3 linked regions of the Caenorhabditis elegans genome follow. The protein of the gene in region 3 interacts with the protein of the main gene of each other region in a pairwise test. Each region holds a gene or a part of one and is shown on either strand. Other genes may lie near its edges.

Region 1 (9,886 bases), on a different chromosome or scaffold from region 3:
TGTCAGTTTCTTTCGAAATGATTGAAATATCAATTCTGACAGACAATAATGGTAATCTTGATAAGGTTTTCCACGTCCAGGAGAACACGTTAGTTTTCTTGTTTTAGAAAAAATTGTGGTTGGCACGCTCACAACAGATACGTTGCTTTCTCAGGTCCTTTCTAGCTTCTCCTTCCGGAAGGAGAAGTCTTAATACACATTTCGAGATGTTTTTAATAAGAGAATGCGTCTTGTAGTACAATTAATATAGTTGCGAATCTCGCGCCTCTGTGGTGGATCGTTGGAGGAAGTTAATAAACGAATTTTGAAATGTCAGACGTTCGACTCGCCATGACACTCATGAGAAGGAAATATGTTTCGAAAACAATTACATTCTATCCTAATAATATTTTTCCCAATTTGTGTGAAAAATTGTGTTGTTATTCTCGTCAAAAGAAAATTAAATGGTATCACAAAATGATCAACGGGTAGGAGATCCTAAACTGATCCTATAAACCATAGTATAGTTTGGGGGAGCAAGTTGGGGGAATAAGTTTACAAATGGGAATAACATTTAAATGGGAAGCAAAGACTGATCGGTTTAGTTTCTCTGGCAGCAGCTTTAACGACCGGTTCCAAATGGAAAGATTGGAACGCAAAAATGCTTTGTTTGAAGCTCCAATAGACTTCAGCATATAGGGGTATCTCGGTGATTGAGCTGGAACTATTAACCAAAGTTTAACTTTGAAAAAGCCGAAAAAACTCGAAAATCACTCTCATCTCAAGACAGAAGCAAGCTGCAAGTGAATAATTAGGCTTGTTTGATAGATAAAAAAGGTCTCTACACACTGACATGTTGAACGGATAGCTTTGGGCACCAAATTCAAAAGTTAAGAGCCGGGGAGCTATTAACCAAAGTTTCCACGAAACTAGTGAAAAACCAGCTGAAACTGCTAAAGCTGGCGGATTTTTAACCGTTAACCTACTTTTTTTCCAAATTCGCCGAATTAGCTGTTAGCCGAAAAAACAGTTAGCCGCCCAACCCTGACCGTAATGTGAATTTTAGTGAAGTGCATAATGTCTGCTTCTTTCGTACATCTGTGTTTATATCGCCCATAACTTGTCCAAAAAACTGAAACAAATTCTGTCGTCAACTATTAACTACATATTCCCACTAACCTTCCACATGTATCCATCAACTGTTCCACCTATAATATGCACACAGATGGCAGAATCAAGACCTTTAAATAGAGTTGAAAACTTTTTTGCCTTGGAGAGTTGTTTCACTGAAACAAAGGTAATAAGATAAGGGGATCAGACTTTTCTTACTGTAACTTAAGATGTTCGGAAGAATTGCCATTTCTTCTCCAAAAAATATATATTTCCGGCCACAAGTTGTTGGGAAAGGCTCGTATCCAAACTGTATAAGTTCACGAACTACAGTAATCGGATGTACTGATGTCATTGCAACTAAAGTCTGAAATTCAGACTCTGAATTGGTGAATGGAATTAAAGTTTTCATCATGATAAGTTGTAAGTATTATTTTTGACGCTTCAGAGCTGAATGAATAAAATTGATGACTGATTTGACACCTAAATAAGTTCTTAACAAAACTCAAAATTCTCGGAAACTGACGAGTCGTGACGACATACAAAAATTCGATAAAATTTTGGAATTAACGTGCATCAGTCTCACCAATATCGTATAATATTTGAATTAATTTCAGTATTCTGAAAGCTCTTCCTACAGGCGCATGGATTTATTCTAAAAAGGTCTCACCGCGGGAAAAAGGTTTATGGTAGCACATTTTTTTCAAGTTTTTTTTAGCGGAATTTTCAATTATTTTTCAGTTTTTATTACGGTTTGTGTTAGTTAAAAGTATGTATTTTTGTTTATTCGATTAGCTAAAAAACAATTCATCGAAAAACTATGAAAAATTAATGAAATTTCCGAAAGTTTGAACCTACAGTACTCATTAAAGGCGCACGCCTGTTCGTATTGTACAAAAATCTGTCGTGTCAAGACCGGGGTTGGCTCAAAAACCCTAAAACCTCGTGTCTGGTTAATAAAGGATATTTCCAGAAAAAAGTGAAATGGAAACCTAAGTTATTTTTGAACTTTGAAAATATAGTGTGCTCTTGGATCTGGATAATTTACTATGACTTCAGCAGCTTTATCTAATTCCATGTTTTCTTGTTTTCGCAACGTATTTTGTATTTCATGAAAATTTCACGGATGGAACGTTGACGAAGATGATCTAGATTCGCTAGTTCAGCTGTTATATCATCAAGAACTTGCATTGTTGCAGCTGCAGCAACAGGCCTTTCAGGCACTCGAATGATAATTTCAGCTTGCTGCTGATTTATAAACCCAGCGCACATGAAATGAGCAACAAAGAACCCAGTGGATCCTTGCTTCAGGAAACAATCAATGTGAGCAGGCATATAAATGTGGAAGATTAGTTAGGTGAAAATGTGATTGTGCATTATTATGGAGTCTCTTGAGAAACGTAGCCAGAACAAAAGTGAAGGTGAGATGTAGAAAGTAGAACGACAAGCGTGGAGACGGAGAAAGGAGTCAATCGGATCGAAAGCTCTTCTTGTGAAGGCGTGGAGGCTTGCCTTGTTTCTATTTCCGTCTTTTCGTCTCTCGTCCCACTTTCAACAACACGTTACCGACAGAAACGAATAGAAAAAATGAGTGTCTCGGAAGAAAAGAAAGAAGCAGTCCATTGCAAGCCAATTGGAGAAGAGTCACTTTTAGACAGCGAAGAAGATTTTGATTTTACATCCTCACCCCACTAGCTAATCAGTTGCCTTATCTGAAAACAAAATTTGAAAAAGATTACACTCAAAATAAAAAAACAGCGTGGCGTGTACTGCAGAAAACCTCATATTTAGGCCCCGCCTTTTTCTCGTCCACTCACGGACGAAAAGGCAAAAATTTGGCTCAAGCTAAGACTGTTTCTGATCACAAAATGTACAACTTCATGCCCATCCCAATTTCAAAACATCAAAAAATTTCAAAGTAAGCTCACGTGATCGGACTTTGCTTTCAAGACGTAGCCAAAAAGAAGAAACCAAAGAAGGGGAAAAGAGGCGACATATTTACTATCAGTGAGTTTTCAAAGCTTCATATCTCCAAAACCCCTGTGTTATCGTATTACAAAACACAATGTTGCAGTTGCGAAATTGAGAACAAGAAAGTTCTAGCACATTCTAGAACTCCTTTGAATTTTCGAGAAGTTTCCAGAGCATTTTTACTTAGAAAATTTGAATTTTCCTCCAGTTTGTGATTATGTCTCAAAATGGACATGGCCAGTGGGATTCTTCTTGCCAAAGATCTACTATGTAGAAACATAAAACAGCGCTTCATATCTAGTAAAATGATGATACAAGATCATATATTTTTCAGAATGCCGATATGAGATTTCCAACGAACACTCGTTCGAAGTTCATAGTCAAGGTGAAATGGGTCCAGAAATAGAACGGAAGTCGCATTTAGCGTATCAAGTCGCTCGTTTCGAAGCAGTTGCTATGGGCTTCCCGGTGCAATATAGACAAGTTGTTGTCGAATTCTACTATCATGGCCGATTGGATGGATCATCGGGTACCCTGGCGACTGCGGTTGGGTTGTTGGCTCTCTTCACAGGAGTTGAGATATCACCCCGTTTTGCCATCACGGGTTCTCTTGATGTTTTCGGTTGGCCCCCATATTGTTGCCTTTTCTCCGTGAGTGGACGAGAAAAAGGCGGGGCCTAAATATGAGGTTTTCTGCAGTACACGCCACGCAGTTTTTTTTATTTTGAGTGTAGTTTGTTTACAAAAAAAAACTATAAAATTTTAAATTGTAGATTTAACTTCATCATAGGATAACGCTAAAGCTAATAAATTACGGGACACATGTTGAAATTTAAATCGAAAATCTAAAGTACGGGTTTGGATTAAAGGAACATTTTAGTTCTATGAGATTTGAGTCTAAAACAACCGATGATTGGTATATGAAAAGGGATTAGCAAAACTCGAAAAATACATTATAGCGAAGATTGGATGAAGTTGGGGACGAAAATCTTATGCAAAGTAAGAGTTGCTAGCGTAAAGTTGTTGATCCACGCCGACAGTGACAGCTCCCACTTGTTCACGAAGGAACAGGCGGTTTCCACGCTTGAGACCAATTGGGCGAAGGTAGTCCCATGCTCCATGCCAGTTGTTGAAGGATGGTGAATATGGGAGGAACGAAACGGCTAGTCCTGAAATAATCTTTTATTTTAAAAGATACTGTTATTCGCATGCTTACCTGATCCAGCAACAGCCATAACAGTGGATACAACACTGTATGGGTAGCCGAAGGAGTTGACGAGGAATGGAACAGCAGTATGGATGAACTTGTGAACATCCTTGGCAGCCTTGGCTTTCGTTTCGTCCTTATTCTTTGTGTCTCCAAATTCAATGCGGAGAATAGCTCTTTGAATTCCGTGAGTAATTAGATGAACTCCCCAAATGACGAGAAGCTCTCCAACGATCTGAGGAGCAAGTCCGCTGAAAAGTCCTCCTGGACCTTCCTGCTTTCCGATGACGGCCAGAGCCTGGGCGCAGGTAGTGTATTTAGTTTCATTGCCAATAACTTGAGCAACTTGACGAGCAAAGCAGACTGGAAGAGATTATTATACAGTTTAATCGCAAATAATTTAACTTACCAGCAAATGGTCGTGCAGCAGTAACAGCAACAACACGAATGACAGAATCGCGGAATCCGTTACGAATAACTCTTCGGAATGATTCAGCATCGGTGAGTTCATCCTCTTCTTTATCTTGATTTAAAAGAGGTCCTCCAATATTGGGGTAGTACTCGTCGATGTACTGTAAGATAATTTTTTACGGTTTTCAGGAACTTTCAATGAGAAAACTGTTTACCTGCTGAGTGCGGTGAGAAGCAATACCCTGAACAGCCAAAGCAGCGATAGCAGAGTCGATTCCAGTCCAAAGGGTGATATATCCACGAGTAGTTCCCAATTGCTTCACTAAATTTATGATCATTACCGAAGATTATTTTCGTGAATCCTACTATAGCTGAAGAAGTTAGGAAGGAAATACGCATTTCTTCCTGCAATGACGAGAGTCTTTCCTGTAGACAATGGGAACGGTTCATGACCAAGCTGGATAAGGGTACGTGTCACGGTCAAAGGAAGCGACAACGAGCTCAAAGCGAGCTTGGCAATAAGACTCTTGGCGAATTTCTCCTGTAAAACTGAATTTCAAATCTATTTCAATAAGACTAAACTCTCATCTTCTGGAGCAAGCCCAAGGAAAGCGTCTTGTTGATTTCCTTCAGCCATGATTCACTGAAAATAATTAATTTAATAACAAATGAAAATACAAACTAATATTTTGGGTTAACTATAGTTATATTCATAAAAAATAGCAATCAGACATTAAATGAGAAAAATCGAAGATAAAAAAAATGAGCGGATAAACAATAAACATTCGCCGCACAAAAAAGTGGGCGGAGACTGAAACGCAATGTGTGCGCACGTTATCTCACTCCTCTTTCTGTGTAAGAATTGCAGAATTTTTTGTCTTAAAAACAATTTTCTGATAGTTGAATAAATTTCCGTCAGTTTTATTGTTTTTCACTTAAATCTCACTGTCACTGATCTAAAAAATATTTTTAGAAAATGTCTTCCGGTGGAGGAAATCAAAAGTCAGATGGACAAGTCGAGGAAGATGCCGCTGAATGCAAATTTCCGAAAGGTATTGTTTTGTTTTTACTGAGTTTTTGAATTTGGTGATTTTTCCTAATCGGTATATTTTCAGAATTCGAAACAACAACATGCGACGCTCTTCTGACCGCTGAGGTTTACTTGCTTCTGGAGCATCGTCGTCAATCGAGTGAAAGCAAAGACGAAATTGAAGAGATGAGCGAGGTAGTCTCAAAACTATTTCAGTCGATTAAATTTATTGATTTATAATATCATTTTTATATTAAACGAATTCAGGTCTTCATCAAAACTCTCAACTACGCTCGCCGCATGTCTCGATTCAAAAATCGCGAAACTATCCGTGCAGTTCGAGCGATTTTCTCCGAGAAGCATCTTCACAAATTCGAAGTTGCGCAGATTGCCAATCTCTGCCCTGAAAATGCCGAAGAAGCCAAAGCACTAGTTCCTTCTTTGGAAAACAAAATCGAGGAGTCTGAACTAGAGGAAGTTCTCAAGGATCTGCAATCCAAAAGAACATTCCAATAAATACAAGCAAACTAATCCCATATTTATCTGTATTCTCAAGTTACTGTAATTGTCCTATGAGATCTCTCATAATGTGTTATTTGATACAATGAAATGAAATTTTGGAAATGTTTATTAATGTTTTTCAAATAATTTGTTCAATCGAAAATGAATACTGGTTTCATATTGTTTTTTTTTGTTGAAAAAATCACACTATTGAACCAGATGGTGCAGAAATTGAGCAGACCGTCTCCAGATTTTCTCAAAGGCCTTAAGAGCATTGTGAGTTTATTTTTCACATTATTTGTTAATGTACTAGAATTTTTCAGTTGCAAGGCGATCATCCTTCTCTCAAGCAGCTCGAACAAGATATAAATATATTTTATATGAATCAAAGACAGGTAGGATGGGAAACTGGTTAATTTTTACCAATTGTAGAGATTTCGCATGTTTATAATTTGAATCCAAATTTTCAGAGCCAATCAATGTTGGAGGAACGAAAGCTTTATGTGGCGTTGGTTCGAAAATACCTGAAATCCGAAGGAGTTACCAAACAACTCGCTTCGCAAGGAATCAAATTGCGTGGACTTAGCGTTTTTGGAAGTTTCCCGACGCACTGTGCCTCGAAAGACAGCGATCTTGATCTGTGTGTGTGTGCGACGGCAACAGGAAATAAAAAACAGTAAGTCGTTTTGCAGCCTTACTTTTGACGATTTATAATAACTTTTGCAGACTGCCGGTAATCATTCTTCAAGCCATTTTTCGAGACATGATGTACAGTAAGGAAGGGCAGAACATTTTTGGAGAGAATGTCGTCAGCGGAATTTCGTTTGTGCAAACGGCAAAGGTTCCGATCATCCGATTCAAAATCAACGATGTGCCAGTTGATTTGAGTGCAACATTCGATGATAATCCTCGAACAAGTCTCGCCGCAAAGTATATCAATGCTTACTGCCAGTAAGATTAATTTCTGGAAATAACACTTATTGAACTAATTTATTCAGACTCGATGATCGCTTCAAAATTCTCGTGATGTTTTTGAAAAAATGGATGAAATCAGAAGGGAGAGCTGAAGATCATTTGCGAATTTACCCCAACTCGTAATTTCTAACCTGCAAAAAGTCAGAGCAAAGTCACCATTTCTTTCAGATACTCGATTATTCTTCTGCTCATTCATGTTTTGCAATGGTATGATATTCTACCGAATCTTCACCAGACCCACAGTGATCTTTTTCATCGCGGCAATTTCAAATTGTCGGACTTGGCGGAACTACGTCACGAGTTCAAATTTCCTCTTGATGAAAACAGTTCGTGATAAAATGATCAATTGAAATAATTGGAATTTAATTTATTTCAGCTATTTCAATGCATAGAAAGAGACCATCGAATGATCTCACTGTTGTTCAGCTTCTCTACCTTTTCGCTTGTCAATACTCCAACCATGTGGTATTGCTGAATTATCGATTCAATATGCGAAATGGTGAAATTGAAGCTCTATCTCAAAAGTGAGTCGTCGTTTTTCAAACTCAAAATAACAAAAAATTGTTGCAGGGATCAAGACTATCAGATCACTATTCTCGACGCCTACGATGTGCGAAATCCAGGAAGAAGTGCGCGGAATGCTTTGGATCTTGTGAAAACTCTCGAGTAAGTTGAATTGTAATTTATTATTTCAAAAAACTAACTATTTCAGAGCATTGAAAAGCTTGTTGGTGCAGCCCCATGAAGGAATGTTCAAAACTGTCATGGAAATCACAAGGAATAGAACGTATGAGAGAGTAGTACCGCCTCCACAAGTTCTCTATCAGGAGTGAGTTGATATTTTACTCATTATTGTATTGAAAATGATTTTTTTTCAGCTATGACATGCAGTTTGGTGCTGATCCATACAATATGCCATTGGTCGGGTCTGTCGAGTATCAGCAATGGCTAGAACAGGTGGCAATGCATCATCAGATTCAAATGATGCAAGGACAAATGATGCAGCAGCAAATCGTCTTCACAGCGTTAGTTAAGTTTCAGGAAGACTATCCCAAATGTTTTACTTTCAGACCGGAGATGTATTACTACTCACAACAACAACAACAACCACACCCGATCTTCGGGATTCAACAATCTTCCCAATTCTTCTGAAAGTTTGCCGTTCGGGTAAATAATTTGTGTACATTGTGCATTGTACTGTGTATTTTATTTTCCACTTCTATGAGTTTCAAGAAAGCCACATTCATGCGAGATCATTTCATATTAATGTGCCTCCCTTTAAACTCATAGAAGTGGAAAATAAAATACACTCGAGTTGTGTAAATCATTTGTAAATTTTTTTTCGACTCACTTGTTTTTGTTTAGAATTCATATATACCGGTCTGAATGTTGACCATTTGTTTTTTTTTTCACATACCCGTTCCTTTTCCCGATATGCCATGACATTTTTCTCTGCCTCTCGTTTTTTCTTCGTTCTTTATTTTCGTTCTTTATATTTCAATAACTACTTTTCTCTCTTTGTGTAATAAATATTTTTTTTGTGTTATCCATTTCTGCGTCAATGTTTTCCGAACTAAAAACATCATACAGCGATGTAAAAACCAAAACGAACTCTCCATTTGCAACTTGTTTTAGTTTTTGGATGAAGCATGCTTCATGGTTTTGGAGTATATACACTTACATATTCAATAAGCTTTCCTTGTTAATATATATTGGCACACAATATCACAAATTGTGTATTTATCATACACAATTTTTCAAAAAAAATTAATTATGCAATTGGGGATCGACTGTTCTTCTCTGTATACCGGTTAAGTTACCTGAATCTATGAAAACTGAGAGTGAAGTATAAAAAGCAGAGTTATCAGTTCTGGAATGTTGCCTGGTGTGAACAATTTGTATAACAAATAAAATAAAAAGCAAAAATTCAATAAATTACGGTACATACACTGTAAATCAGGCGAGCCTTTTTGTCAAAAGTTGGGTAGCTTAAGCTGGGTAAATTGGTGTGCCCGAAACAGTTTGAAAATCAGAAATACCAAAAAAATAAATAATCGAGAGAGAACAGACACTATAGAGTCGATTTCTGATCTCAAGCAATGCCACAAGTTTAAGGATATTGACGGATTTAGAGTTACAGGATGAGGATCTCTACGTAGATTTCAATCTATTGCAGACAGTGAACCGGTGAATGAGAAGCCAATCAAAACAAAGTTATCTGATAATATGCATGCATTGAAACATTATTGGAAAACACCGTATCCGACTACAGAAAAAATTAAATTGAATCTGGAATCAATTAGAGAGAGATCTGAAAGAATGTTTGTAACGACTCTTGATGGAAATTCAAAAATAAGCTCGGAATATTATGTGAACTTCTATCCACCCAAGAAACCTCGATACTCATTTATTCGGCAAATACTGTATTACTACTTATTCTTTTACTACGTATCTCTTTTACTACAAGATCTCTTTTACTACGGAATCTCTTTTACTACGAATTCCGCATTTAGATCTTTTACTACAGTTGGCTCTTTTACTACGTGTTCTCTTTTACTACGATTTGATCACATAGATCTTTTACTACGGAAAATACTTTTTTACTACCTTATCTTTTACTACGTGGATGTTTTACTACGTTTTACTCTTTTGCTACTGACGTATTTTTACTACGTGGAGGGATACTGTTGGGTTACTGTAGT
Region 2 (11,423 bases), on a different chromosome or scaffold from region 3:
TTTATTGGTTCGATTTTTCAAATCAAATTTTTTCTTAAAATTTAAGCTCCGCCCCTTTTTTGGTTAGATTTTTACAAAATTTTTCTTAAATTTAGGCTCCACCCTTTTATTGGTTAGGTTTTTTACAAATATTTTCTAAAAATTTAAGCTCCGCCCCTTCGTTGGTTAGATTTTTACAAAATTTTTCTTAAATTTTAGGCTCCGCCCCTTAGTTGATTAGATTTTTACAAAATTGTTCTTAAAAATTTAAGCTCCGCCCTTTTATTGGTTTGTTTTTTTTCAAAACTCCAATTTTGTGAAAATATTGTGAAAACAAAAAAAAAACAAAATAATTATTTTACAAAAAAAAATTTGCACCAAGAAATGGGCGGAGCTTAGTTTCTTTTTTTCAAAATCTAGGCTCCGCCCATTTTCTGGTTGTTTTTTGTTGTTGGAAGACAAAAATTGAAACTCGGTTAAATAAAAAATTAACTTTGAAAAAAAAAAGTGTGTTGAAAATTTAGGCTCCGCCCCTTTATTGGTTTGATTTTTACACATTTTTTTTTTCAAATTTTAGGCTCCGCCTCTTTGTTGGTTAGTTTTTTGTGTTTTTTTTTTGAAGAATTATTGAACCCGAAATTTTCAACTTTTTTTTTTTCGAAATTTTTCTTAAACTTGAAGCTCCGCCCCTTTATTGGTTAGATTTTTTTTCAAAACTCCAATTTGTGAAAATGTTGTGAAAACAAAAAAGAAACACAAAATAACTGTATCCTAGCAACAAAAAAAACATTTGAACCAAGTAATGGGCGAAGCTTAGTTTTTTTTTTTTTTTTGCGAAATCTAGGCTCCGCCCATTTCCTGGTTGTTTTGTTTTGTTGGAAGACAAAAATTGAAACTCGGTTGAAAAAAAAATTTAAATTTGAAAAAAAAGTGTTTGAAAAATTTAGACTCCGCCCCTTTATTGGTTCGATGTTTGTGGAAAATTCGAATTTTCTCAAAAAAAATTAGAAAAAACCGCGCCCAGCTTGCTAGGGGGGCACGGTTTTCTGGGCGTGTCCACACCTCAATGCCTAAAAACGGGCTTGAAAAGCCGCCGCGCTTGCGATTTTCCACGTTTTCCGAGTTTCCAGGCGTCATTGGAGGCATTGGGCTCTGGATTTCGGGCTTTTGGGCCGAAATGGGCTTCTGGGGAGGCCCAGTAGCAATTCTCTCCTGAATCTCGACGCTCCAGGATCCGATATTGATGATTCGGCCGTCTTCAAGCTGGTCCAGGCCTTTTAGCGCTGAGGATCTGGAAAAATCGATAATTTTCAAGTGTTTTGTGGAAATTTTGAATTTTTTAGAGTTTTAGGGGTAAAAATGGTTTTTTTTTTCGATTTGATAGGTAAAAATTTTCACAGTTTTTGAGGTAAAATTTTTATTTTTTTATTTTACGGTAAAAATTCGATTTTTGCACAGTTTTTGACGTAAAAATTCAAAATTTCGCCAATTTTTCAGTTTTAGGGGTAAAAAAAACCAAATTTTCGGCAATTTTGCGGTAAAAACTCCAAATTTTCACAGTTTTCGGGTTAAAAAATGCTTATTTATCCGATTTTGCAGGTAAAAATTCAAAATTTGCACATTTTTTGAGGTAAAATTAACTTCTTTTTCGATTTTTCAAGTAAAAATTTGAATTTTTCTCATCTTTTGAGATAAAAAAAATCAAACTTTCGCCAATTTATCGGTAAAAAATCTAATTTTTCAGTTTTTGAGATAAAAATTTTTTTTTTCGATTTTTCAGGTAAAAACTCGATTTTTCACATTTTTTGAGGTAGAAAAAGCTTATTTTTCTGATTTTTTCAAGTGAAAAATAATTTTTTGCCAATTTTTCCGGTAAAAAAATCGATTTTTTCACACTTTTTGGGTACAAAATGTCTATTTTTCACATTTTTCAACTAAAAATTGTTTTTTTTAATGTTTTCGGGGTAAAACTTCAAATTTTTACATTTTTTGAGGTTTAAAACAATTTTTTTTCGAATTTTCCGGTAAAAAAATCGAATTTTTCACATTTTTTAGGATAAAAAATAGTTTTTTTGCCAATTTTTCGGTAAAAATTCAAAATTTTCCCATTTTTTGAGATGAAAAATCAAATTTTCGCCAATTTTCTAGTAAAAAATTCAAAGTTTTCATAGTTTTAGGGGCAAAAATGCCTATTTTTCACATTTTTCAACTAAAAAATCGATTTTTTCTCCAATTTTCACGAAGCCAGGCACCAACCTGCAAATGACGTCACGCTCATCTTCCGACTTCAGGAGACACGAATCTGTGAAACACACGAGAAGACCGTCTCCTTCCCAAATTTTGTGTTTTCGAGTCGAAGCTTTTCCATAGAGAACGACAAAACGGGCGATTTCGGCGCTCGGGGTGTCTGGAATTTTGGGAATTTTCGAAAAATAAAATTTTCGACCACAAAAGAGGCGGAGCATAAATATTTCGTTCAGCTCCGCCCATTTTTTGGGTCTTGCGACGAAAATGTGTCCCGTAATCTTAAAGCCTTACGCATTTTCGTCGCAAGACCCAAAAGTGGGCGGGGCAAACCTAGCCACGCCCATTTCTTGGTAGATTCCGATCTGCCGAATTTTTGTCCATTTTTGAAAAAATATGAAAAAGATGGGCTCCGAGATATATTTTCTCTGTGAGACCCGAAAAATGGGCGGTAGATTCCGATCTGCCGAATTTTTGTCCATTTTTGAAAAAAATTGAAAAAAATGGATTTTTGGTAGATCGCGGGCGGCCCTTTTTTGGGCGGGGCTTAAATTCCAGGAAGATTTTTTTTCGAAAAACACGATCTGCGGTCACAATTTCGTCGCGAGACCCGAAAAGTGGGCGGGGCGTAATACGCCACGCCCCTAAATTGCGCGGGGCTTAACAAGGCACGCCCACTCCTTGGTAGACCATGGGCGGCCCATTTTGTGGGCGGGGCTTAACTTTCTGAATTGTTTTCCCGAAAAATATTCGGGGATCACGATCTTCGCAGCGAAAGTGGGCGAGACATAATAAGCCACGCCCGTTCCTGGTAGATCATGGACCGACCAATTTGTGGGCGGGGCGTCAATTTCTGGAAGATTTTATTTTGAAGAACACGATCTACGGGCATAAATTCGTTGCGAGTCCCGGGAAAGTGGGTGGGACGTAATACACCACGCCCCTTAAATGGGCGGAGCATGTCTGAACACGCTCATTTCTTGGTAGATCACGGACCGACCATTTTGTGGGCGGAGCGTCAATTTCGGGATTTTTTCCGAAAAATATTCGGATATCACGATTTTTGCAGCGAAAGTGGGAGGAGCTTAGTAGGGCACGCCCATTTCTTGGTAGATCGTGAACCTGCCATTTTGTGGGCGGGGCTTCAATTTCTGGAAGATTTTTTTTTTGGAAGAACACGATCTACGGAAACAAATTCGTTGCGAGCCCCGGGAAAATGGGCGTGGCATTGCTCCGCCCATTTATTGGCTTTTTGTAGAAATTGTACATAGATTCGATTCCCGGCGATATGCGTTCCCTAAAAAATTGTCCGGCTAAGCTCCGCCCCTTTAATGGTGGATTTCAGATTCCAACCATTTTTGGTCGTTTTTTTTTCGAATTTTTCAGCCAAAAATGCCAATTTTTCAGAAATTTTCAGCCTATAGGCGTAGGCGCCTACCATTTCCCTCATAACTATCCACGTTGAGAACCACTCGGGACATCTGAAATATTAAATTTAAATTTTTGGCCTAAAAATCTGAAAATCTGGCAGCAAAAAATATTTCGTCCTAAAGAAAATCAACTATAAAATTGGCCAAAAAATCGATTTTTTAAATATATTTTTCTCCATAAAAAACGATAAAATCACAGATAATGGCAGCGAATATATTTGGAGAAAATTGGAGGTCGCCGCGGCCGAGAAAAACCTCGGTCATGGAGCAAAAATTGGGGAGAAAAGCAGTGATTTTAGTGTTTTTTTTCGGGGGGGGGGGGGGAACTCGGGAAAAACAGTGGGGAAATAAGTGAAAATTGGGCACCTAGGGGGGGGGGGGGGGGGGAAATTTTGGAAATTTATTTTTTTGGGGAGCATTTTGAGCATTTTTTTCGAGTATTTTCTGTGAATTAAAGAGAGGGAAAATAGGAATAAGCATGGCACACACAATGTTAAAATTTAAGGGATTGAAAATTTTTTGAAAAAAAAATTTTTTTTTTTTTGAATTAAAAAAAAATTTAAAACAGAAAAAATTGCAGATAAAAAGTGAAAAAAATACTGTTAATATTTGGCAAGACGCGAATTTTTTATTCCAAATTCTTCAGATAATGTGTTTTACGGCTTGCAATTCTGGCTTAGCCACGTCAGGCCTTCGTGTAGGCCGTCTCCGGTTGAAGCACATGATGGTTGGACGTACCTGCAAAGAAATTAATTGGAAATTATGGGTGAAAATCCGTGGATTTTTAGGTGAAAAATGAAGGTTTTTGATTGAAAATCTGAAAAAAATCAATTTTTTCGGTGAAAAATTGGCCTAAAACCGACAATTTTCGAGTTTGGAGCGTTTTTTTTTAAGGAAAAATGGGTTTTTTTAGTGGAAAAATTGCTGAAAATCCGGAATTTTAGGTGAAAATCGGTTTAAAATCGACATTTTTCGAATTTTGAGCGTTTTCAGGTGGAAAATATGGGTTTTTTAGTGCAAAAACTGATGAAAATGCCGTAAAATCCGGAATTTTAGGTGCACAATCGGTGTAAAAACGGAAATTTTCGAATTTCAAGCACTTTTTGATGAGAAAATTGGATTTTCCGTGAAAAACGGATGAAAATAGCTGAAAATCTGCAAAAATTCGATTTTTTTTGGGAAAATTGGCCAAAAACCGACAATTTTCGAGTTTGGAACATTTTTTTTAAAGGAAAAATGGGTTTTTAGTGAAAAATTGTTGAAAAACTGCTTTTTTTTTGTAGAAAATCGGTTAAAAAAAGGAACTTTTTTTGAATTTTGAGCGTTTTCAGGTGGAAAATATGAGTTTTTGAGTAAAAATTGGCTTAAAATAGCTGAAAATCTGGAATTTTTGGTCGAAAATCGGAGAATTTTCGAATTTCAAGCACTTTGTAATGGAAAAATGGTTTTTTTTTTGTGAAAAAACGGGAAAAGCCGGCAAAACGAGTTTTGGGCGTTTTTTAAGGGAAAAATTGAATTTTTAATGAAAAAAAAATGTTGAAAATATGAATTTTTGTTAGAAAATCGGTTAAAAACGGAAAATTTTCGATTTTCAAGCACTTTGATGAAAAAATTGAATTTTTACTGAAAAAATGCTGAAAAACTGCATTTTTTGATGGAAAATGGCTCTAAAACGATAAATTTTCTAATTTTGAGCGTTGTCAGGTGGAAAATTGGATTTTTAGTGCGAAAACTGATGAAAATGCCTTAAAATCTGAATTATTTGGTGAAAAAACCGAAAAAAAGGCGAATTTTTAGAGTTTTCCGTTAAAAAAAAAGAAGAAAAATTTCGTTTCTGGAGGTTTTTTAGAAGAAACTGAGGGAATTTTAAGCGAAAATCGCTATTTTATGCTTTTTCTCCGAGAAAATTTAAAAAAATTGTATTTTTTGCATAAAAACGAGATTTTTAGTGAGAAATAATCGGAAAAATTTGATTTTTACACCAAAATCTGCATTTTCTACCCATTTTCCGAGAGAAAATGGGTGTTTTTTGATGTATTTTTGCAGAAAAATCAGTTTTTCCTCGAGTTTTTGATGTTTCTTACCAATTCCTGTCTCGAATCCTCGTCAATCCCAATTTATCCTGAATTTCGTGTGGTTTCATCGCTGAAAATTGCATTTTTAGTGAGTAAATCCATTTTTTCAGTAAAATCGGGCATTTTTAAGCAAAAAAAGCTGAAAATTCGAGTTTTTAGGTTAAAAATCGATTTTTTCCGAGTTTTTCGGGGTAAAATCGCTCATTTTTGAGCTGAAAATCGATTTTTTCCGAGTTTTAGGTGTAGCATCGCTCATTTCGCTCAAATTTTCCGCCAAAAAAGCCACAAACCATCGGCAAGATCCTGTTTATTGGCAAAAACCAAAATAATCGCCTCCTTCATTTCCCGATCATTAATTATTCGGTGAAGCTCCATTCGCGCCTCGTCGACTCTGAAAATTCCGAATTTTTCCGTTGAAAAAATCGATTTTGTCCAGGAAAAAAACCAATTTTTCCGCATTTTTCGCCTAAAAACCTGTCTCTATCAGCGGCGTCCATCACAAAAATGAGCGCCTGAGTTCCTGTGTAATAATGTCGCCAGAGGGGTCGAATTTTGTCCTGTCCGCCGACGTCCTGAAGAAAAATTGGGGTTTTTGGGGGTTTTTAGGCCAAAATCTGGGGTTTTTAGGCCAAAATCCAGGGTTTTTGGGGCGGAAAACTCACCCAAACGTTGAATTTGATATTTTTATACGTGACAGTCTCCACATTGAAGCCCACCGTCGGAATTGTGGTCACTGATTGCCCGAGCTTCAGTTTGTACAGAATTGCTGGAAAAAAAATCGATTTTTTCCATATTTCTAGCCGTAAAAATCGAAATTTCCGCCAAAAACTCACTGGTTTTACCCGCCGCATCGAGTCCGAGCATTAATATCCGGAGCTCCTTTTTGCCAAAGATTTTCGACAGGAATTTACCCATTTTTCGATCTAAAAATGTGATTTTTAGGCAAAAAATACCGAAATTAGTGCGATTTTTGAGTAAAAAACTTGAAAAATCAACAAAAATGAGTCATTTTTCGCGAAAATTCGCTTTAAAACGGCGGAAAAAGGAAGAAAAAATCAATTTCCGCGTGGCTCCGCCCAGTTTTGCAAGCGGCGCGCGTGCTATTTGCAAGTGGTGCGCACGGGATTTATTGTTTTCGTGTTTTATTTTTCGTGGAATAAATCGAATTTATTATTGATTTATTCAATTTTTTCAGATTTTCAGTGAAAAAATCATGAAAAATTGCTAAAAATTGAACAAAAAATGGTGGAATTAAGTCTGGGAGTCTTTTTCCGATCGTTTAACGCATCGTAAGTCTATTTTTCGAGCTAATTCACCTAGAAACCCTGAATTTTTTCCAGAAAAGTAATTCTCTGCGCTTGTCTGCTAATTTTCACGGCATTATTCACGTTAAAACTCGATGGAAAAGTCTCATTTAGGTTGGAAATCCTCAAAATATCAGAAATTTCCCGAAAAAATCGATTTTTCCAGCTACGCATTCGTTTTTGCGCCGCTATGGGCCTGTAATCTCCTAGTTTTCGTCGGAGCCATCGTCGGAATTTGCTCTTTTTGCTCAAAACCACCGTCGAGGTGGGAAAAGCTGGAAAAAGCTGGAAAAATGTGGAAAAAATAAAGAAATTTGACATTTCAGAAACGAAATTGTGATGCGTGTCGACTTTTCGGCTATGCTAATCACTGCTACCGAGCACATTTTTCTTTGTACATTTGTTTCGCTGGTTTTTATTAAGGTAAACGATGGAAAAGCGGATTTAAATAGATAAAAATGAAGAAAAATGGCCAAAAATCGAGTTTCTACGTGGAAAAGCGAGTTTTTCAGCGAAAAAACCGAATTTTTTGGACAAAAATCAAGAAAAAGCCGAAAAAATTGCGTTTTTTTCTTGATTTTTTGTCAAAATTGCTTGTTTTGACCTTAATAATCGATAAAATGGGTCAAAAATGTGTAAAAATAACCCTTTTCAAGCCAAAAAACTACATTTTCTGACCATTTTGCTTGAAAAAAAAGTGAAAAATCTTCATTTTTTAGAGCAAAGCTCAATAAAGTAGCTGAAAAATCGATTTTTCTACAGTTTTTGACTCGAAAATTCATAAATTCATTCCTTTTTCACTGAAAAAATGAAAAAAATGAAGAAAAATCAATTTTTCAACTTTAAAATCACAAATTTGCCCAATTTTTTATTGAAAAAATCGATAAAAAAAGGTTTTCTATTTTAAAATATTCAAAAAATCCAGATTTTGAGGTGTTTTTACCCAAAAAACAAAAAAAAATCTATTTTTTTCGATATTTTAACCTTAAAAAATGGAAAAAATCAAAATTTTTGGACTTTTTTACTTTAAAAAAATCGTAAAAATCCAGATTTTTATGTATTTTAGCCCAAAAAAAATCTAGTTTTTTAGTCTTTTTTACCCCAAAAAATCCCAAAAATCCAAATTTTCAGGTAATTTTACCCTAATAACAGCAAAAAATCCAGTTTGTTGTCTTTTTTACTCTAAAAACAGCTAAAAATCTAGATTTTTGGTGTATTTTAGCCCAAAAATCTGGTTTTTTAGTCTGTTTTACCCCAAAAAATGCCAAAAATCCAAATTCTCAGGTCATTTTACCCTAGTAACTGCAAAAAATCCAGTTTGTTGTCTTTTTTACTCTAAAAACAGCTAAAAATCCAGATTTTTATGTATTTTAACCCAAAAAACTAGAAAAATCTAGATTTTTGGTGTATTTTAGCCCAAAAATCTAGTTTTTTAGTCTTTTTTACCCCAAAAAATGCCAAAAATTCAAATTTTCAGGTCATTTTACCCTAATAACTGCAAAAAATCCAGTTTGTTGTCTTTTTTACTCTAAAAACAGCTAAAAATCCAGATTTTTATGTATTTTAACCCAAAAAACTAGAAAAATCTAGATTTTTGGTGTATTTTAGCCCAAAAATCTAGTTTTTTAGTCTTTTTTACCCCAAAAAATGCCAAAAATCCAAATTTTCCGTTCATTTTTCCCTCCAAAACCCGTATTTTGTTTTCCAGCTAGAATTCGATTATCTCTTCGAACCAGGATATCCACTTCCATGGACAATTGTATTCTGTCCATTATTCTCTTTATCAATATTATCAATTGGAATAGCTATATGGTCCCTCCGGCATGATAAACCATTCGAATTTGAATTTTTCTACGCAATTAATATTGTTCAGCTGGTTTTTATCGCTTTCAAGCTGGATAAACAGGTAAAAAATCGAGGAAAAATGACTTTTCCAGTGAAAATTTTGAATTTTTAGTACAAAAATCACTAGAAAACCCAAAAAATTCGCTTAAAAACCTCCAAAAATCCACTTTTTTGGTTAAAATCACAGCAAAACCAAAAAGTGTACGGAGCCCAACAGGAGATTCTGGTTCCGGAGAAACGAATCTATGGGAAATGTTCACTCATATTGGCACCGCCCAGTTCTTGGCTGTTGGGAATTTTAATTTAAAACTGTAGAAACGGATCCAAGAAGTGGGCGGGGACTAAATGGGGATTCCGGTTTAGGAGAAGTGAATCTATGAGAATTTTTCACTAATATTGGCTCCGCCCACTTCTTAGCTTGCGGATATTTTCATTTAAAACTGTAGAAAACGGAATAAAGAAGTGGGCGGAGCCTAAATGGAGATGATAATTCCGGAGAAGCGAATCTATGGGAATTTATCACACATATTAGCTCCGCCTACTTCTTGGCCTAAAAAAAATCCATTTTTTTCTATTAAAAAAAAATCACAAAAACCCCAAAATTACCTAAAATAATCAACATTTCCCAAATTTTTGCAGGTCGATTGGACATGGGCAGTCGTATTCATACCTCTATGGGTGGTCCTTTCCCTTGCCGCTGTCGGTGTTCTCTACGCTCTTGTGCTCTCCGTTGTGCTCATCAGATCTCGTCATTTCATTCCGGCTCACCGTCGCCAACACGTTTATTCTGCGATTTTACACACGTTTTTCGTGAGTTGAGCTAATTTCAGCTAAAAATTGCCATAGATTCGCTTCTCCGATAACTACGATCCCAACATAGGCTCCGCTCACTTCTTGGTTCTTTTTTTTTCTACTATTTCACGTTTAACAATTAAAAAAGCCAGTTTTGAGTGAAAAATTCCCATAGATTCGCTTCTCCGATAACTACGATCCCAAAATAGGCTCCGCTCACTTCTTGGTTCTTTTTTTTTCTACTATTTCACGTTTAACAATTAAAAAAGCCAGTTTTGAGTGAAAAATTCCCATAGATTCGCTTCTCCGATAACTGCGATCCCAACAATATAGGCTCCGCTCACTTCTTGGTTCTTTTTTTCTACTATTTCACATTTAACAATTAAAAAAGCCAGTTTTGAGTGAAAAATTCCCATAGATTCGCTTCTCCGATAACTACGATCCCAACAATATAGGCTCCGCTCACTTCTTGGTTCTTTTTTTCTACTATTTCACATTTAACAATTAAAAAAGCCAGTTTTGAGTGAAAAATTCCCATAGATTCGCTTCTCCGATAACTGCGATCCCAACAATATAGGCTCCGCTCACTTCTTGGTTCTTTTTTTCTACTATTTCACATTTAACAATTAAAAAAGCCAGTTTTGAGTGAAAAATTCCCATAGATTCGCTTCTCCGATAACTGCGATCCCAACAATATAGGCTCCGCTCACTTCTTGGTTCTTTTTTTCTACTATTTCACATTTAACAATTAAAAAAGCCAGTTTTGAGTGAAAAATTCCCATAGATTCTCTTCTCCGATAACTACGATCCCAACATAGGCTCCGCGTCACTTCTTGGTTCTTTTTTTCTACTATTTCACATTTAACAATTAAAAAAGCCAGTTTTGAGTGAAAAATTCCCATAGACTCGCTTCTCCGGTAGCCACCTTTTCAGTTTAGGCTCCGCCCACGTCCTGGTTCCCCGCTTTCACTCAAAAATTCCAATTTTTCAGGTAATTCCAGCGCTGGTATGCCTTGTACTGCTTACTGGAAAGCTTGATTCGATGAATTGGCCGGATAAAGGATCAGTATCAGAATTGAGCTATACGGTAAGAACTCCGCGAACACGAGTTGCGATTTGTTAGCTGGAAAATCGGAAAATCTGATTCTCCGGAAAAAATTTTCCCGAAAAACTCGGAAAATCGGCATTTTTGTGTCAAAATTACAGCAGAAATCGTCTGAAATCCAAGATTTTAATAAAAAAATTCGAAAAAATCATGGGAATTGGAACCAAGAAGTGGGCGGAGCCTAAATGGAGATTCTGGTTCCGGAGAACCAAATCTATGGAATTTTTTTTTCACACATATTGGCTCCGCCCATTTCATGGCTTTAAAGTTTTTTAATTTAAAATTGTAGAAAACGTAACCTATAAGTGGGCGGAGCTTAGCTGAAATTGCTGGTTCCGAAGAACCAAATCTATGGGAAATTTTCGGGTCCGCCCACTTCTTGGTTTTGGATTAATTATTTTGGAGAGAGAAATTCAAAAAACTGTGGAAATCAGAACCAATAAGTGGGCGGAGCCTAAATGGAGATGCTGGTTCCGGAGAAACGAATCTATGGGAAATTTTCGACTCCGCCCACTTCTTGGTTTTGGATTAAAGATTTTCCAGTGATTTAGCATTGAAAATCGGTGTTTTGGAGCGGTTTTTTCAAGTTTAAAAGCGAAAAAACCACAGAATTTTTAAATTTTTACAGAGACCAATTGTTTGGCCTAGT
Region 3 (11,329 bases):
GTTTTTTGTTCATCTAGGCTCCTTATTTTTTAGGCTCCTTATTTATTAATTTGTTCTTTTTTTTTTCAAATTTGTAGTAGCTCCCCGAATTGTTTGTCCCCATCTCTAAACATAATCATTTGAGTTCATCATCGTTGGATCTCTACAGATCAATCTTTCGCCTTTTCTTTCTTCCCCCGATGACGTTTTTCTTCCTCCAAAATACCGATTTCAACTGTTTTTATTTCGCCCTCTCACTATGTTCATGTTTTTGAAAGAATAAATTGCTCTCTGACTTTTTTTTTTTTTCTTGCTAACTGTGTCCCCAACCATCCTTTGTCCCCTGTTCCCTCTTCATTCTATTTCAACGAGCGGTCACCGATGTGACCAATAAGCGCAAAGGCACTAAGAAATTGGGAAAATTGAGAGAGGGTTGCGCCATGAAGAGACGCAAAGATTAACACAAGGGCACATTTACCTTTATTCTACCTACATCTATCCCCCAACACAACGGACACTATTTTATATCGGTTGCAGGGCGTGGGGAAAGGTCACCACCAACACTGCCCCAGTCTGATGTGATTCCATCCGGGTTTCGCAAATACTTTTTCAATTTCACGTTATTCAACATTTTTATGATAGAAATTCATTTTGAGCAAATGACATAAACAACATGAGATCATAGTGACAATGTTTTCAAATCCATATATTTTTTCGAGATGATTAAAGGTGGAGTAGTGCCAGTGGGGAAAGTGTTAAAAACTATTCCTATGGTGCCAAAAAGACCGAATATCATAATTAAACCTTTCAAAATTTTTTTTGAAATTTTTTATTTTATGTCAAAGAGTGGCAACTATTATATGTGTATTTAAACAAAATTCCCACTGGCGCTACAGTACTCTGCCTTTAAATGGAGTATTGCCAGTGGGAATTTCTACTCGAAAAGTCCATGAACGAATATCATAATAAAAACTTCGATTAAAAAAAAAAGTTTTGAATAGTTTTAGTAAAGTGACAAATTTTCGTGAAATCTGGAATTTTTTGGACAATTCACTACAATGTTGAAATAGAAATATTCGAAAAATAATTAAAATGTAATATATATGGAAATCTTCTCTGATCAGAAAAGAAAATAACATTTTGGCATTCTTCCAAAATGTGAGAACTTGCCACGTTTTGTCTGGAACATCCCTCATCCCAACTCAAATTGTTCAATTAAAAAGAACGGTGTCATGTCATGAAAAAAGAATTTAAAAGTGCAAACAAAAGAACGATTCATTTTTGTTTTCTTTGTGTTCATCTTCATTTTCTCAGTCTCTCTTTACCTCCTCCGCCTTCCCTGTTATCACTTATCATCTCATCATTTCCTTTACTCAAACATTCACTTTTAGCCTTGTTTCTCTCTTTCTCTCATTCATTTTCCGCTCAGTTTACCCACTTTTTTTGTTTCTGTTACCTGTTACTATTTCTTATCGCGCAAAACAAAAATCGATAATAATTATTGAATTAGTTTTTTTGAAATGAGAGCAAAATTTCAGTCAAAATGAACGGATTACTGCATATGCATGGTCCAGCTGTCAAAAAGCTTTTAGGTTGGAAAATTGGAGAAGACGAAGAAAAATGGTGTGAGAAGGCTGTTGAGGCATTGGTGAAAAAATTAAAAAAGAAAAATAATGGATGTGGTTAGTCAAATATATTTTTTAAAGGAATTTATAATAATTTAGGGAGGGACATTTCTGAAAAAGGGTCTCGACGCGCTTATGAAAGTTTCAAAACTATTTTTGTGATTACCTTTAAATTTACAGTAGAAATATTTGAGCCTCCTTCCTCTTAGTCTAATTTTTCTTACGATTTCTTATGATTTTCATTTTTTTTAACTTGCAAAAAACTATAAAAACAGTAAGAAGAAAGCACCAAAAAACAAACTTAACATTTTCGAATGTATTCGAAAATACTATTGGCGCGGCGAGACCCATCCGAATGTTAAGCATATTGTTACGGATACAATATAATATTATGATTAACATTTTCCGATGACCCTTTTCGATTCATGAATCAAAGTGCACCTTATTTATAAGTTAGATCATAAATATTAAAAAAAAAGAAATTCAACCGATCCATTTCAAATTCTAAATTCCAGGAACCCTCGAAGATCTGGAATGTGTTCTAGCAAACCCATGTACAAACTCAAGATGCATTACGATAGCAAAAAGTTTAGACGGTCGGTTACAGGTATGTGGCGCCGTTGTGGTTGCTTAACGTAAATTTGTTCGCTAATCAGACAACTGTGATAACTTTCAAAAATAACACTTTGGTTTGAAATAACGACTTTTTGACGCCAAACTTCCGGCTTTTCAGGTATCCCATAAGAAAGGTCTTCCACATGTGATTTACTGTCGAGTATGGCGGTGGCCGGATATAAGTTCTCCTCATGTAAGTTAATTGGATATATTAATTTGAAATTTTTGAATGTTCATTTCAGGAATTACGTTCAATTGATACATGCTCCTACCCATATGAATCTAGTTCCAAAACCATGTACATCTGCATTAATCCATATCACTATCAGAGGTTTGTTCTGAAAGTTGTTTAAAATTGGAATACATTTCAAAAATGAATAAAATTCCAGATTATCACGACCACAAGGCTTAAATTCTTCAATGCCATCACCACAACCAATATCATCTCCAAACAGTAAGCGTTGGATCTAAAAATTGTTTAAACATATCAGAATCTTCTATTAAAAAAAAACAACTAAACTCTCTTTAAAATTCTCTAGGGAAATTAAATGAAAAATACATAAAATTGCAGCTATCTGGCAGTCTAGTGGAAGCTCAACGGCATCTTGTGCAAGCTCGCCGAGCCCGTCGGTTTTTTCAGAAGATGGAGGAGAAGTGGTTAGTTTTTTTGCAATACACATTTTTGCAAAAATTATAATTTTCAGCAAGTTCACCAGCGACCTCCACCGTTCCGTCATCCCAAATCCTGGGCCCAAATTACGTATTTTGAGTTGAATTCGAGAGTTGGAGAAGTTTTTAAAGTGAGGTTTTGATTTTTCAAAACAAAACAAAATTGGAGTTTCAGCTAGTGAATCTGAGCATTACAGTCGACGGATATACTAATCCATCAAATTCAAATACAAGGTAAGATTTTGAAAGACATTCGAAAGTAGAAATAAATTGATTTTAAAAGTGAAAAAACCAAAAAATAATTAGTTTTTTTCGATTTCGGTCGGACTTCTAAAAAATGTTCTTACAAAATATAAATATTATTAGTTTGATTTAAATTTCCTCCATTAATACGGTATAATACATATCTTCTCTATAATATTATCATAGTTATTAAAAAGTGGACACTTCGAGTTAATTAACGTGAAAATTGCTGATTCGAAGCTTTAACTTCGAGAAGTTCTGAATAATAATAATTCTTACCGGTTTCTTTATTAAAATAATCCGGAAATTTCAGAATATGTCTTGGACAATTAACCAATGTGAATCGAAATGGAACAATTGAGAACACACGGATGCATATTGGAAAAGGAATTCAGCTTGATAATAAAGAAGATCAAATGCATATTATGATTACAAATAACTCTGATATGCCAGTTTTTGTGCAATCCAAAAATACGAATCTCATGATGAACATGCCACTGGTCAAAGTCTGCCGAATACCACCGCACAGTCAATTATGCGTTTTTGAGTTTAATTTATTTTTTCAAGTGAGGTTTTTAAAATTTAAAATTATTTTCATGCTATTCTTCAACAATTGTCAAAAATTAAGATGTTGGAACAGTCGTGCAACGATAGCGATGGATTGAATGAACTCTCCAAACACTGTTTTATTCGTATTTCTTTTGTAAAGGTTTGTTCTAAATGTTTGAATTCCTTGTAGATTTATACTTGTTAAATTTATCGTGAGATTTTCAAATGAAACTTCGATAAACAAATTTTCAGGGCTGGGGAGAAGATTATCCACGTCAAGACGTCACATCCACGCCTTGCTGGCTTGAACTTCGGCTCAATGTGCCACTGGCTGTAAGTTTTTTTGAGAAGGAATCGTATCTGGAAATTTATCAAATTATCAAAAATATTCTATAAAATTTTTGTACATTTTGTAAATATCATCCAAAATTAAGCCATATTTCTATTTTGGGTACTTTTCCGATTTCTGCCCCCCCAATTTTTTAAGTTCAATATTTCAATTTCAATTCTCACGTGAATGTTTATTTCAATACTAAATAACAAAAAAGTTAACGTTTCATTAATGAATATATCGAAAACATTTTGGGGGCAGAAATCGGAAAAGTACCCTATTTTGTTTGAGTTTTCTGTGAAAATGAAATATTTTCAGTATATCGATCAAAAAATGAAGCAAACTCCAAGGACGAACTTGATGGAACCAAATTCAATGACATAATGATTTGTTAAAAACGCTTTCCTTCTCGCAACCACCTGAATTCAGAATTTACCTACTCTAATGATGATACTTGTAACATGTTTTACATTTGCTGGTTCTTTTTAATTATGAAGATTTCTTTTAATGTTGTCATGTTCTTCGAACATTTACTTAACGAAATTCTCAGAATGATTTCGCAGTTTTTTTCGGTCACGACAAAAACGCCCCCTAATTCTTGGGATTTTTAATTGTTTACTCTGAAAATATGCTCGAAAATTTTGAGCAAATGATTATTTATAACAAATCCAATACGTAAAATTAACTATTAGATCCATTCTGGGAAACGTCCACAGACAGCTCCATAGTTCCAGAGATCGGATGCACCTTCATTTTCTGGATGCTTTACATAGTTGCAGAAGACGTCATTGATCAGCTCACTGCGAGCAGGGAATTGAGAAATTGAGAGTTGAAGGCAAGATTCAATGCTTCTGGAAATCATATTTAAAAAAAAACAACTTGCAACTGTAACTAACTTTTCAAAGATGGTCTGTCCTGGTTCAGTTGCAGACCAGCTTTTCCACATGAAAGTATTATCAGTATGCTTCTCATCAGTAGTGAAACCAGATGATGAATTCCTGCATTCTACAGTAGCCAAAACGGTTTTATCTGTAGTCTCGCAGTTCTTCAAACGATGTCCATCGACAATCATTGATCCACGATCCAATTTCTTTGCAGTAAGGAAATCACGAAGAACAGTGGAAAGTTTGGTACGCTCATCAAAATTTTCAAATGATGTCAGGATTGATCCATCTTTCTCACAAACTTTTTTGGCTTGATTTGGAGAGATGAGAGTATCAGACAAAATTGCCTGAAAAACATTATAGAAAAGAGGCAAGGGGCAGCAATTGAAAAATGTTTTTAGATTTTTAGAGCTCATTCTGACCCTCTTTTCTTTTTGAAGAAGAACCCTAAATTGATTTTGAGCAAGATTGGTCTATCAGAAATCATTTCTTAAAAAATAAATAATTCGGAATATACCAGGAATTCAAAAAAAGTAGGATACCTTAACACGTCACATCCCAGTCATCGAGTTCTTGGGGGTTGGAGTTCTTTTGAATGACATATATCCATCTGGACATCTCATGTTGCAGTCAGCTGAAATAGTTTTTTCTCAGAAAAATATGTTTAAAGAAGTGGTCTTACCTGCTACGAGAGCTACAAAAAGAGCTGAAAGGATTAGTTTCTGCATGTTCAGAATACTAGAAAGTTATGAATTTTTTGAAGTTGCATATCAGTATTTATACTCTTCTCTGCAGTGCTCAATATAACAATTAAGTTTCTAAAATTATTTCTGCAAACTTATGGGTGAGAACTCAAAATGATACTTTACCAATCTTATGGAAAATACAGTGAACTTTGGGATATTTTCCAATTATTGATGGGAAACTTTAAAATTTGCATCTTCCTTTTCTCACCTGCAAAGGAGTATAAATAGTTCTCTAAATAGTCGTAAAATTCATACTTTCCTGGTATTCAGAGAATGCAGAAATTTATTCTTTCAGCGTTTGTTGTGGCTCTCGTTGCAGGTTAAGCTTGCTTAAAGACTTTCTTTCCTGAAAAGTATAATTTCAGCCGACTGTGCCCTGAAATGTCCAGATGGCTACTTTTCATTCAAAAGAGCTCCATCAGCCAAGAACTCGATGACTGGATTGTGGTGTGTCAAGGTAATACACTTGTTTACAATCTATCATTTTTATGTGCAACATTTTATTTTCAGGCAATTTTGTCTGACACTCTTATCTCACCAAATCAAGCCAAACAAGTTTGTGAAAAAGATGGATCAATCCTGACATCATTTGAGAATCTTGATGAGCGTACCAAACTTGCCACTGTTCTTCGTGATTTCCTTTCTGCCAAGAAATTGGATCGTGGAGGAATGATTGTTGATGGACATCGTTTGAAGAACTGCGAGACTGACGATAGAACTGTTTTGAATGCCGAACCATGCAGAAACTCATCCACTGGGTTTACTACTGATGAGAAGCACACTGATAATACATTCATGTGGAAGAGCTGGGCTGATACTGAACCAGGACAATCCATCTTTGAGAAGTTAGTTGCATTTAGAATGCCAATAGTTAATATATGACTTTCAGACAAATCGAATCTTGCCTCCAACTCGCAATTTCTCAATTCAAATCCCGCACTGAACTGATCAATGACGTCTTCTGTAACTATGTAAAGCATCCACAAAATGAAGGTGCTTACGATCTCTGGAACTATGGAGCTGTCTGTGGACGTTTGCCAGAATGGAACTAAATTTTAATTACACGGATTCATACCTTTTTGAAGTAAATATCTAATTTCTCGATTTTTTTAAAGAACTTGACTAATCTTAAAAACGTGATTGCTCGTAAATCAGCCACAACTTCGATCCTGCTTTGTCTTTACATTAGGAGGAATTCGGTGGCGTGAGGTTATTTTTTATAAATTAAAAGTGAAAAGATCAACAAACGTGTCTGCTATCAAATTGGAATCATGGAAATCATCCAATTGCGAGTTATCCAGTGCTACGTAGACCTCCTTATCCAGTGTTTCTTACACCTCCTTATCCAGCACTACTGACACCTCCTTCCCGTACCAATTTTGATGTCCTTCCTACCTTCACCTACAGACTAAGACGATGCCTAAAAATTAGACCCACTCTTGAACCATCCATTTCGGATATACTGATTCCGCCTGTTTACCAGCATCCTGACATTTCACTGTACCGGAGTTGCTGATTATGTGCCATACGTCCGACATCTGAGCATCTGGAACGTATAGGATGCTGCCACTCGCATCTTCTCGAGACTTGAGCGATTTGAGAGCTCAGCTCCATCTTCGGTAAATGTGAGCTTGTGCCGAGCCCACCATTTCGTGAAGGAAGTTCTTCTGGGGTTTCTTTCGGAACACGAAAATGTGCCCGTATATCCTCACGGATTCAGCTAATCCTCGACACATGGTCCCTCGGTGTTCACATCATCCAATTGCGAGTTATCCAGTGCTACGTAGACCTCCTTATCCAGTGTTTCTTACACCTCCTTATCCAGTACTACTGACAGTAATGATTGGTGTACTTACACGGAATTTCAACTGACAATACTCCACCTTCAAGTTCTGTGATCCTGCAAAAAGTTCAGTGTCAACTTCACCGCATAAAATTTGCATTTCAACTCTTTTTCTCCCAATATCAAACTATTTTCTCATCAAATAATCGGTTATCATTGTCTGTCTCTCCCTAACTTTAAAATACTTTCTCCTTCTCATGTCTCTCTCACTCTCCATCCCGACGGGAAGGTTTGATGATGCATGGGAAGGGGGTACTCTTTTCTTCGATTCGATTTGTTCTTGTTTTCTCTAAACTCTCTCATTCTGATTTACTATCTTGTTCATTTGAAAGTATGTCTAGGAACCACGAGGAAAACAAGAGGAAAACAAAGAACAAGGAGTATAAGTGCATGGTTTTTCTTTTTCTTCTTTGCTTTTTGCAGTCGAGCTGAATTTTTAATCGTTCTCCTCTGTCAATCGAGGCTGCCAATTGTTGACTTATTTGTTTCTCTAGGTCTCAAATGTCTACTCCCACACAATTATTCTAGTTTTGACCAATGCTTTTTACGAAATCTTTCACAATTAAACTGTATTCTATGACCTTTTTCTTGAAACATCAAAGATCAGTTTCAAAGTTTACAAATAGTTTTTTTGTGTAATTCAAGTTGGAAGATTATTGAGAAGATACTCAAATGTTTTAATTTGACAATATATAACACTATTTTTTTGCAATGTTTTGATACATATTTTTCACAAAAAAAAGATTTTCAAAAGATATAGTTCTGCAGATGCTCCAAAACTTTGCTTCAACTTAACATACTCCTATCGCCCATTTTTAATTTCATTTTTTTGCAAATTGTTTATTTAGAAGTTAGTCAGATCAGCAAAATTATCAGATTGAGAATAGAAATTAGATTATGAAATATACCAAAAAGGCGCCATTTTCCCGGAAACGTTGCTTTCGTTTCTTGCTTGACACTTTTTCTATGTATTTTACAAATTCAGCACCGATAGGCACCCCGGCACATTTAATTCACGTTAGGCTTTTTAGGCATGCAGGTATTTCTTGCCTGAAAGTTTTTCTACTTTTTCTGAAAATTTGTATCTCACTGAAGTAATTGAAAAATTCAGTCTGTAAAATATACGTTCTCTATGCCTTAAGAGATATCCGAAAAAAAAAAACAAACTGTTTCTCAGTTTTCAAAATTTTCCAGAAGATGTCAACTCCAACATCAAATGAATCGACATCCTCTTCATCAAACAATTCCGATCAACGTGTGCTCTTTCCAGATATTCAAAGAGATGATATTCAAGTTGGAGATCATATAGGAGTAGGCACATTTGGAGCCGTTTTCAGTGGAAATTGGACACTTCCAGATGGTAGTCAACGAACAATTGCACTGAAAAAAGTTTTTGTGTTGGAAAAAGAAGCAGAGATTTTATCGAAAATTCGACATAAGAATATAATTCAGTTTTATGGAATTTGTAAAGCAACTGGAAATGATTTTTTCATTGTGACAGAGTATGCTGAAAAAGGAAGTCTTTATGATTTTATACATTCGGAAGAATCTCAAAGTTTTGCCTCATCATCTGGTGGAAACTCATTTGATGTCGTTGTTAAGTGGGCGTCTCAGGTGGGAATATTTTTGTGAGTTTTTAATTCATAAATAGGAGAATTTCTAATAATAATAGTAATTTGAAAATGTAAAAATTGTAGGTTTCGTGGCTTACTACAAATAATTTTAAAAACCTTTTGTTTTGATTAGAGTTTGTTCAATTTGGAACATAGGATAAATAAAGTTATTAAATTTAGACAAAAAAGTAAATGTACATTTTAGCAATAGGCGTGAATCAAGTCGCCAAATGTTGATAAAACTTTTTGTAGGGCTAGTAGGGCTAGATTAAAATCAGTATTTTTTTAAAGAAAATACAAAAAATAAAACCTTCAACATTTAAATATTCAGATCGCAAGTGGTATTCAATATCTCCACTACGACGCAGTTGACACCATTATTCATAGAGATTTGAAATCGAAAAATGTCGTTCTTGATAAAAACCTTGTGTGTAAAATTTGCGATTTTGGAACTTCCAAGGATCTCACACATTCTTGCACAGCACCGTCGTGGGGTGGAACGGCCGCTTGGATGAGGTAAGTTTTCAAATTTTCACAACTACTAGAGATAGCAGAAAATATTAAAACTTTAGCCCCGAGATGATACTACAATCAGAAGGTCTAACTACTGCAACAGATGTTTGGAGTTATGGAGTTGTTCTTTGGGAAATTCTATCAAAAGAAGTACCGTATAAAGACTACTCAGAGTTTCGAATATTCACAATGATCACTCAATCTGGAATTACATTGGCAATACCCCCATCGTGTCCAGCTCCATTAAAACAGTGAGTTTAGTTTTTTTTTTTAAATATCAATTAAATTGAAGTTTTCTTTTAAGAATATAGGAAAAATCAACCATAAAACACTCTTATGCGTACTTTAATTGAGTAAATTGAATTTGAAACTCTAATGTTACCAGTAGAATATTCAAATTTCAATTTGCTGCGCAAATTATCATTGAACTTTGTGAAAGGTTTTGGCATTCTGATTATTCAAATAAACTTCTAAATTTATGATAATTTCTTTTAGATTAATGAGTAATTGTTGGAAGATGACACCGAAAGATCGAGCTAACATGCGCCAAATTCAAGGTGAACTCAACAGACTCGCTGGAAATCAAAAAGTCAGGGTTTCTAAGTTAAGCTTATCAAGTGTATAACTTAATTTAGGTAATGGACGAATGTGAAAAGTTTATGGGATTGGAAGATTGGAAAACTGAAATCGAGAAACAAGAAAAAAATGTTGAGGTATTTATGATCATCGAAAAAATTTATTCATTTTGAAATGTTTCAAAAATATATCATTGGATTTCGAACAGTTCCAATTTTTTTGTAGAAAATGAGAAAGGATCTCGAAAAAAGGCGTGAGCAACTAGAAATCCGCGAGAAAGCCCTTAAACAACGAATGAAAGTCGAGCAAGCAGTCTTGGATTCGGCACGTCATCCACCAGAGGATGTACATCAATGGAGTGAGCATCACACTTCTCATTGGGTTGAAACTGTTCTTGGCAGAGTTGGTAAGCAAACATTTATAGTTTAAAATCATAAATTCTATACTTTGGAAACTTTTCAGCAAACGATAAAAAGTTTTTGGACAGAGTGAATGCGGCGGTCTTCAGAAATCGGATAACTGGCGCTCGACTTTTGGGAATGACACAGAATGATTTAGAACATCTCGGCGTTCACAAAGTTGGATCTAGAATAGAATTAATGAAAATGATAAGAAAATTGGCGGATACTCAGAAGGCTTTGCATAATTTCCCAACTTTGGAGCAAGCAAAAAGGATTGAAATGACATTGGTGAGCCTGACTTTTTCAAAAAAAAAAAAACCAAAAAACTCGCAAACCTTTTGTTTCAGAAAACTGAAAAGGAAGCTGCTGGACAACTTGCCAATGATGTTGATATAGTGATTATAGTTGGGATGTACGTAAGAAAAATGAACGCAACACGACGAAAATTCAAATTCTACGCGGATTCGGATTGGATTGATGATACTGATATTCCAGCAAAATCAAAGTCAAAACATGCGTCATCACTTATCAAGACAGTTTGCTTTTCAGTTCTTGATGAAAACACAAAGGTTTCTAAAATATCAAATAAATAAAAAAAAGCAGTATTTTTCAGAAGCCAATCAATGAGCCAGCATGCTCAATATCTAGTGGAATGACAACAAATCCAGATTGGATTACTGTAGATACGGAGGATGATGTTAAGATTAGAGTTATCGTTAGTGTATACTACGCAGACATTGTG

The links.
Region 1: the proteins of sma-3 (region 3) and mtch-1 interact in a two-hybrid assay, tested with the Caenorhabditis elegans proteins (one large-scale study listed by BioGRID).
Region 2: the proteins of sma-3 (region 3) and arf-6 interact in a two-hybrid assay, tested with the Caenorhabditis elegans proteins (one large-scale study listed by BioGRID).

What each region holds. Positions count from the first base shown.
Region 1 is NC_003280.10:7,368,852-7,378,737, forward strand, and holds mtch-1 (Mitochondrial carrier), read right to left. Parts: upstream 5,316-9,886; coding exon 5,266-5,315; intron 5,221-5,265; coding exon 5,045-5,220; intron 5,001-5,044; coding exon 4,894-5,000; intron 4,840-4,893; coding exon 4,677-4,839; intron 4,631-4,676; coding exon 4,277-4,630; intron 4,230-4,276; coding exon 4,051-4,229; 3' UTR 3,764-4,050; downstream 1-3,763. Other genes in the region: F43E2.11 (Peptidylprolyl isomerase), read right to left, coding at 1,010-1,111, 1,159-1,265, 1,309-1,444; rpb-4 (RNA polymerase Rpb4/RPC9 core domain-containing protein), read left to right, coding at 5,655-5,730, 5,794-5,903, 5,976-6,224; F43E2.1 (Poly(A) RNA polymerase mitochondrial-like central palm domain-containing protein), read left to right, coding at 6,429-6,485, 6,533-6,604, 6,680-6,885, 6,936-7,160, 7,208-7,303, 7,353-7,510, 7,561-7,708, 7,755-7,850 and 3 more.
Region 2 is NC_003282.8:16,942,348-16,953,770, reverse strand, and holds arf-6 (ADP-ribosylation factor 6), read right to left. Parts: upstream 6,652-11,423; 5' UTR 6,644-6,651; coding exon 6,562-6,643; intron 6,495-6,561; coding exon 6,391-6,494; intron 6,301-6,390; coding exon 6,203-6,300; intron 6,120-6,202; coding exon 6,019-6,119; intron 5,799-6,018; coding exon 5,738-5,798; intron 4,392-5,737; coding exon 4,310-4,391; 3' UTR 4,037-4,309; downstream 1-4,036. Other genes in the region: rad-54.B (DNA repair and recombination protein RAD54-like), read right to left, coding at 1,042-1,270, 2,236-2,386, 3,662-3,704; Y116A8C.9 (Transmembrane protein 185B), read left to right, coding at 6,971-7,017, 7,069-7,146, 7,199-7,297, 7,359-7,455, 8,741-8,938, 9,517-9,687, 10,661-10,756.
Region 3 is NC_003281.10:6,854,157-6,865,485, reverse strand, and holds sma-3 (Dwarfin sma-3), read left to right. Parts: upstream 1-1,517; 5' UTR 1,518-1,522; coding exon 1,523-1,661; intron 1,662-2,119; coding exon 2,120-2,211; intron 2,212-2,337; coding exon 2,338-2,412; intron 2,413-2,461; coding exon 2,462-2,550; intron 2,551-2,608; coding exon 2,609-2,673; intron 2,674-2,790; coding exon 2,791-2,876; intron 2,877-2,923; coding exon 2,924-3,019; intron 3,020-3,063; coding exon 3,064-3,122; intron 3,123-3,444; coding exon 3,445-3,697; intron 3,698-3,759; coding exon 3,760-3,840; intron 3,841-3,932; coding exon 3,933-4,013; intron 4,014-4,329; coding exon 4,330-4,395; 3' UTR 4,396-4,512; downstream 4,513-11,329. Other genes in the region: clec-158 (C-type lectin domain-containing protein 158), read left to right, coding at 5,915-5,960, 6,007-6,098, 6,152-6,486, 6,531-6,693; Mitogen-activated protein kinase kinase kinase zak-1, read left to right, coding at 8,682-9,098, 9,429-9,613, 9,670-9,861, 10,106-10,199, 10,246-10,323, 10,412-10,592, 10,649-10,875, 10,935-11,156 and 1 more. UniProt on the Caenorhabditis elegans protein: Involved in TGF-beta pathway. Plays a role in male tail tip morphogenesis.